2 linked regions of the Astyanax mexicanus genome follow. Each later gene encodes a partner of the first gene's protein in a complex. Links are inferred from orthologs where the notes say so. Each region holds a gene or a part of one and is shown in the gene's direction. Other genes may lie near its edges.

Region 1 (3,754 bases):
GTGGGGGGGTGGGGGGGTGTTGTTCTTGTGAGGTTTGTTGTGGCAATAGGAAGCTTGCTCTATTCAATTCGGAATCGATTCGAAAGAACCTTTTACATGACTGAACGATTCCTTTTAGTTTAGTATCACAAAGAAGATATTCGCACCTTCAACCACCCACTTTCCCAGTTTTGTGATACATAAGAAAGTAGTTAAATAAGTCACATCTCTATTAATAAAATATGATTTATTATTATTTATTATTCTATTATTGTTTTTTTTGTTTTTTCTAATGTTGCTTCTTTTTATACTTTTGTTTTAAATGTTCTTTTTTTGTTATTTCAGTTCAAAGTTAGTGTTCACATATATTTTAATAATTTTACAGTTTATTTTCTTATTCCGAAATGTATTTATGTAATTTGGATTGCTTGACTGATTCATTTATCTATCTATATATTTTAACTCTTACTAATTAAGCCTTAAATTGTTATTTTTTACTCTTCCAGTCTTGTTTTTTTGTGCTTGCTTTTGTTAAATTAATATATATATATTCTCTTTAATCCTTGTTTACCGTGAATACAATGTACTTTCAATGAAAAATAAGAGTTGGTTGGGTTATATAAATAAAACATGTATATATTTTAAAGATATCACTATGTCATGTATTACGCTATTATTTCATTTATTCAGTACTTTTGGTGTTACTTTTTCTTTTGACACTACTGTAGTCACGGTTATTGCAATGTTTGACCATTTATGTTCTCGATAGCTACAGTATATTGCCTATTTGAATCCGAGTCTGAATCTAGTATTTGCGAATCGACTCATCTGACTCGGTTCATGGAGAACAATTCGTTCCTGAATCGACCGTCGCTAGTCGGTCGCAGTGCTTAGTCATGGTGACTTACTGCTTCGCGCTCTCTCTCTGTCCCCCCCCCTCTCCTCTCATCTGGCCTTTAGTCAGCACTGACAGACTTCATCCTCACAAGACGCGTGAGTAGCAACCTTAAAACCTTTGCACTGCAAAAAACGAGTCGTTGTGTTTCGTTAGAGCTGCACTTTTCTGTGCATTTTCTTTGTTTATCATCGTGTTGCACGCTGAGTCGGTGGGAAGTGATTCATCTGCCCGTGCTTCACCAGAGTGCACTGCTGAGGAGTGTTTTCGAGCTTTGCCAGGATACATAAGTCTGTCTGTCTGGAACAGCACAGACCGCTAGGTAACATAGGTTAGTTTTTAGGTGTAGGGTCGCAGTCTTAGAAATCCCACTGTTTATCTAAAGCATTTGGGGCTGTGATTCATGCAGAGATCTTTAACACTGAAAATCATGGACTCATGGATCATGAAGAAATCCACTACCCATACAGTAGCTCTACTCGTTTAAAAGATGGTGCAGGTTTTATATAAGGAGTGTTTATATAAGGATTAAGCCTAAAAGATTAGATAACAATAAAATAAAAGTAAACAATAAATGCAGTGTTAAATTATTTTTCTTTACAATAATATATGGCTGTAGTGAAAGGTATTAAAGACCCACAATAATCCAGTCGGGGTTCATGGGGTTAATAAAGTGAAACACGATCGCCTACTTTCCTTATCCAGCTGACGGCATGCCTTAACTCTCTGTATTCTCTTTTAAGATGTAAAATTAAGATAAGCTATGTAGGTTAGACTGTTTTACCGAAAATTCCGCTAGCTGTGCCAGTGTTTACCTGATTAAATTAAACAAACCCTTCGCCGGTAATTGTTTTGAATAAGGTGCGCGTTGTTTGGTAAAATAACCTAGCGTTAGGTAACCTAGTTAGCTCCTAAAAGGAGCTGCTGTGGCTAGTTTAATTATTAAAGCGAGAGAAAGTTTTACACGATATACCTGTAATGTTATCCACCCTTTAGAAACGCTTCTTTAAAAGCTCTGCGGACTGAAAAGTTCAAACCTGAACGGACGAGGCTGGAGAACGGCGAAGTTTCCTGAGGTTGGTTGGCTCATTATGACCCACTCTTCAGTAGAATCGCTTCCCGCCTTGGCAGCACTGTCCCCCGCAGGGGCTCGAACTCAAGCCCGGGGATTCGCGGCCTGTGGTTTGGTTTTTGTTTAGTTTTATTTTTTACTCTCCACGCTGATATTTATTGCTTTTTAAAGTGTCGTTACAAACAGGCAAGCGACCATTGATATGTAGAGTCGACATTGGCTAAAACATTTTTTTTTACTTGTGGTGTGTTAAAATTACAACTTAAAATCGACTATTTCGCTCTCTCTGACCAATTGTAACATTTCATCAGTTTACACTAATGCTAACAAAATGTCAACAACAAATGCTTTTGTTGTATTAAGCTGTGTAGTGCAGAGAAAGACACCTGTGGAGTAAAAGTTTGTAGTTGTTTGGACGTCAGCGAGATAATTTGACGTAAAGAAAAATGTAGTCACGATGACGAGGGGGGAGTCGGACCTGATTGAAACCAACCAGTGTGTGTGCGCGTCACTGGTCTTAAATAACAGTGTTGTTCAGCTCACTACCACAACACCACATCCAGCAGCAGACTGGTTGGCTTGTTTGTGACTTGGCATATCCATGGATACTGATAAGTAACTACCGGACCTTTGGACTATTTTTTTTTAGCTCTGAACTCTCAGCATATACTGTTATATGTGTTTCTGTTGCAATATTTTGTGTGTTTTATTTTAGTTTTATCAGCATGATTAAAGTTAGTTTATGCTGTCTGATTGCAGTGTGCTGACTGTGTGTCATTTAAGCAACAGGAATGTACTTGTTGTGTCAGGACAGAATGTCCGTGATTTCACCCTGTTGATCTTTGTCGTAAATCTCTCTCGCTCACTCTCTCACTTCTTTTTTTTTGCAGGTCTTTGAGCGACCGGCAGACGAAAACAGATTCCAGGGCACAGAACTTTTAAGACCTTCAGTCCTGGCGGGATCAGCTGTGTAAAGCTGTGCTGTTTTCCTGGAGAAGATTGTCTGTACAGGCTAAATAACCTCTAGCACCTTTCACACGCCTTCTGACCTGAATGTCTGTAATCTTTCAGGCTGTCGGCTAGACTTCGAGTTTACAAACGGAGGTGAAACGGTGACTTTTAACCTAGAAAACCTTATGCTACAACGAGAGGAAATTATTTTTTTTTCCAAGTCAAGGAGTTCTTATACTTTCATTGAAAAACTCCTTTTAGGGCACTTTAGGAGCAGACTCTCTTTTTGTCTGTTTTATGACCTTAGTTTTTTTGCTTTTTTCCTTTTTTCCTTTTGCCTTTGGGTGTTTTCTGGTGTTCTGCACCAGTAGAACAGTTTGTACTGGCAACCTAAATGTGCTTGGGGCACTACAAACTGGCTTGCTTAATTTTAAAGCCAGTTCACCTAAGGCTGTAGGAGACAGTTCAAGATTTTTCCTGCTTAATAATCCTTACATAACAGCAGGATGTTTATGTTTCGAAGTAGAATGTGAAAAGTTCACCTAGGCTTTCTAATAAAGATGCATCTCGTGTTTCTTTGAGATCATAAAAGGACAGTGAATTACATGTTGATATGGAGTCTACCCGTGGACTTCAAGCTTGCAACAGGTAGTGCTTTTAGCACACTGTCAATCACTGGAAAAATTGTTTGTAGGAATTAGTCACAAGGAAGAAGGCAGCTCTTCTCCCCAAGGACCTGACGTTTGTCACCTAGCACAGCTAATTCAATGCTGCCTCTGTCATTTCCAATGCTAAGATAACTTGGCTGGGACTTGAAAGGTTGTGGGGGTTAAAGGAAAAAAAGGATACCTCCATCC
Region 2 (3,754 bases), about 6.7 Mb from region 1:
TAGTCCAGTGGAGAGTGCAAAGAAGCTATATTTTACAAATATTTACAAATAATGTGCAGTACAGTGCCAGCATTCCCAATGCCAGTAACCAGTAGCTGTGAGTCTTTTAAAATAAGCAATGTGCAGTAGCACATAACTTTTTTGTTATTTCAGCCATTTCTCATTTTCTGAAAATAAATTCTCTAAATGACAATATTTTTATTTGGAATTTGGGAAAAAATTTTGTCCATAGTTTATAGAATAAAACATACTCTCTTAATTTTTTCCAATGTTTCAATATATATTTACAATTTCTATACCAACTATTTATAAAAATATGAACATGCAAGATGTTATGCTGGCATATATGGTATAACAATATACTATATTTTAAGAAAAAATAGTTTAAAACCTTAATCTGACAGCATATGTTCACTTATCACTCTAATAACATAAGATAATTTTCATAATAAAGCTTATTGTCATATAGGCTCGTTGTTACACAATACAATCTCACATCCTAAACAACAAGTGTAGAGAATAATAAGCCTGTAGTTTAAGGAGTCTGTGGTCGTCAGTTTAATGTTAATAGGATTCGGGATATTAAGGCAAGAAGCTACAGCCTGTTTATATCCGATTATTCTATTTTAAACGCTTTTGTCGGGAAAAAAAAATTAATCTGGGGAAGGAAAAGGATCCATTCATTAGCAGCAGGACTGTGTCGGAGCGCCAGTACGAGCTGAAGTTCACTAAAGATCCGGATCCGCACATGAATTTACAATCCGTGCTTTCCACAAAGCCGTTAGCGAGCATTTTTATTTGATTGACGTCAGGACGGCCCAATCAGCGCTCGCAAAGCGTCAAGTACACGTTCGCTCCCTTCCCTCGTCCAATGGGGAGACTTCAAGACGCCATACGGCTTTCTAATTCGGCCATTTTGGTGAGGTTCATTGATTTCCGTGTTTTATTTCTTTAATCGTTTATGTGTTGCAGTGATTCCTCGTTCACACTTAACGCTGTAAGTCGATGTCTGTACATCTCTAAACACGCGATTAAACCGGGTAGTCGGCTCGTTATTGTGCTTTTTATTTTCCGTCACGATTCGCAGTCCGCCATGTTTGTTGTTGCAACAGTAGCGCGAAACCAACACGGTAAAAGACTTAAACGGACTTTAACTTGATTTTATGTGTAATTGTTTGAAACACTTTGACAACAACAACAAAATCACGTGGCTAAAATCGATAGTTGCAAAAATAATCCGCTATACCCGAGCTAACTATCAGTATTGCTCGCCGCTGGTCTTAAACGAGCCACTGTTCACTCTGCCTTTTTTTCCACTGATCTGGGATCAGCTCAGTCCAACCCATTATTCAGCTTACAAACACAAGACAGGCGACAAGAGCTGTTGTGAGATCAGCGTACCTAATATGACTACAGCTCCAAACATTCAGCGGAGCAGTAGCGCAGCCTTCGCTTCCCTCCACTTCACAGACAATAATATTTTTCAGCAAAGAGACACTTTGGTAAAGAGGAGGGGCCGATAACTGTCACTCAAACCCGTGAAGGAGCTCTGCTAGCTAAGTACCGCAATATTATCCTTTGATCTTTGCTTATGTGACCTTGTTCAGTTCATTGCTTAAAATAATGAACTTTTAAGCATTACCACTACCAGGGACCATTTAAAAAATACATCCATTTTGACATAAACAAGTGAAGTTACAGTGAATAGTAGGTTAACTGAGATTGATAATTTTGATCCCCTGATTCCTACTAAACATGTTCGCTCATAACACATATAGTTCCTATGTAATAACACCAAGAGAGAGAGAGATAGAGAGAGAAGCGAAATACAACCCAATAAGGTTGTAGTTACACGCTGTTAAGCCAAACAGGATAAGCATAAAGATCTAATTACATGTGTGGTGGCTTTAACAGTGTGTGTCTGTCTGCCTGCTGGCCATCTCTCTAGCTATACGCGGATGGTGTAGAAGGAGGATGGTCTCGACTGACGCGTTTTGTGAGCACAGTCCACAGACATCTCCAGAAACCTTTTCTATTTTACAACAACAAAAAAAGCAGTATAGTCTAAATCTACCGCGTTTTGAGGTGGGGGGCTCGCATAAGTCATCCATCAGAAGAGGACCAGTCACATAAATGAGTCAGAAAGGTTGGTTTTGCAAGCGGGTTCCCTCGGTATAGAAATACTGTCCATTGTTCCAGTCTGGCGAATTAGACACAGCCTACGAATTTTTCCTCCCTCCGACCAATCAGCGCGCAGCGCCCGCCTGCAGGCCCCGCCCACTATTCTATATAATGGGGCTCCGCTGTCGGAGGAGTTTGCCACAGGCACTAACTCACCCTTTATCTTTATTATAAGCGATTTTTTTGGGATTCTTTTTCTTCCCCCCTCCTCCTTCTCTTTACATTCATTTTTTTTTCTGCGTGACCGCATCCCATTTATACACATTTTAGGCAGAAATGGCTGACACAAAAGTCGACACCAGCTCGGAAATTTCCGCCAAGGTAAGAGAATTGCTGGAATTGATGACTTACTGTAGCTTTATGATGAACGGACTTTAGCGTACAATGGGTTGATAGGTTTAGATGTGCGGGGTTTTAGAATAATAAAAAAAAACACTTTTTTTAAACGTGTGGACATATTAGTAGTAATGTAGCTAACGGTGCTGTGATGTATGTGGCGAGGGACACTATTATTCGTTTAATTGTGCGTATATTTGCTGTCGTGGACGTGGACGAACAAGGTTTTGAGTGAAGACTTTTCTGGATGAGGGAAATGTTAGCTAGCCTTAACTAACCTGCGCTCTGAAGTTGGGTTTTTTTTTTTACAGGCAGAGCTAAGATTAGCGTTGTCTCCTCAGTTACACTGTTGTAGTCCGCGCGGGTTCTTCTTTGTTATAAAGGCGTTTCGGTTCCCTCTTTTTGAAAAAAGTGCCTTTGAGCTACAGATTCTAATATCAAAACACCGCCAACTTCTGGTTTGAAGGGAGGAGGGTCGGGTTTGAGCCCGTCAGCGCGGGGGTTTATCACCGGCAGCGGCGGCGGCAGCGCCTCGTCCGGGGTTTGAGGGACGCGGAGATTTGCTGCCTCTTGTTCTGAAATGTGACAAGTTGTCTTCCGCGCCGCGCGGCTCTCTGTCTGCTCTGTCCGCTCTGTTCTCCCTGAACGAGGCCACGGAGGAGAGGGGGCTTGTTTTGACACGTTTTCTTTGGTTGTTGTAGCTGAGGACGCTTTTACTCCACGCATCTCATTATTTCTTTATTTATCCCCGTTCAGCTGCTCGTTTGTCGCAGACACGACCTGCCTCGCTGCCTCGGATTTACCCGGCTGGGCTGTTTGGCGGGGATTTGAGTTTGATGCATCTAAACGTTACGCATGTTTTCATTCAGAACTTAGGGGGGGAATAATAATAAAAAGTTTAAGAAAGCGACCTGACTGTGACCATAAGGACGAGCGGGGGTCTTATTTAAGTTGGACTGACTGGTTGGGGGGGGGGGGGGGGGTGTGGGGGGCTTGGTCTGCGCTACCGTTACCTGTCCGGAGGATTTTATTTAGCTAGCGTTAGCTGGTTTAGATGGTTCATCAGGAATACACTATACAAATGCACGACAGCCTCACGTACCCACTAGTGTTCAGCCTATACATCCTCGTGCCTCGGGACTCCAACTCTCATTCTGTGGTGCTTTCCGTCTGTACACTTGGTGGGAAGGTGGGACATTAGACTATATAATTTGCTCTGTAGTGAGAGAGAAGTGCA

What was found. The genes of interacting proteins can lie anywhere in the genome.
Region 2: the proteins of keap1b (region 1) and ptmaa are in contact, whole or in part, in a crystal structure (PDB 2Z32), measured with the Mus musculus proteins. The link is inferred for Astyanax mexicanus from reciprocal best matches to the Homo sapiens genes KEAP1 and PTMA. Residues at the interface, in NP_001103775.1 of Mus musculus: Tyr334, Ser363, Arg380, Asn382, Arg415, Phe478, Arg483, Ser508, Gly509, Tyr525, Gln530, Ser555, Ala556, Tyr572, Gly574, Phe577, Ser602; in NP_032998.1 of Mus musculus: Gln40, Asn41, Glu42, Glu43, Asn44, Gly45, Glu46, Gln47.

The regions. Positions count from the first base shown.
Region 1 is NC_064412.1:31,853,659-31,857,412, forward strand, and holds the start of keap1b (kelch-like ECH-associated protein 1B), read left to right. Parts: upstream 1-838; 5' UTR 839-972; intron 973-980; exon of another isoform or gene 981-1,196; intron 1,197-1,468; exon of another isoform or gene 1,469-1,950; intron 1,951-2,458; exon of another isoform or gene 2,459-2,561; intron 2,562-2,836; 5' UTR 2,837-3,754. UniProt on the Homo sapiens protein: Substrate-specific adapter of a BCR (BTB-CUL3-RBX1) E3 ubiquitin ligase complex that regulates the response to oxidative stress by targeting NFE2L2/NRF2 for ubiquitination.
Region 2 is NC_064412.1:25,143,935-25,147,688, forward strand, and holds the start of ptmaa (prothymosin alpha-A), read left to right. Parts: upstream 1-856; 5' UTR 857-871; coding exon 872-919; intron 920-946; exon of another isoform or gene 947-961; coding exon of another isoform or gene 962-997; intron 998-2,299; exon of another isoform or gene 2,300-2,457; coding exon of another isoform or gene 2,458-2,502; intron 2,503-3,754.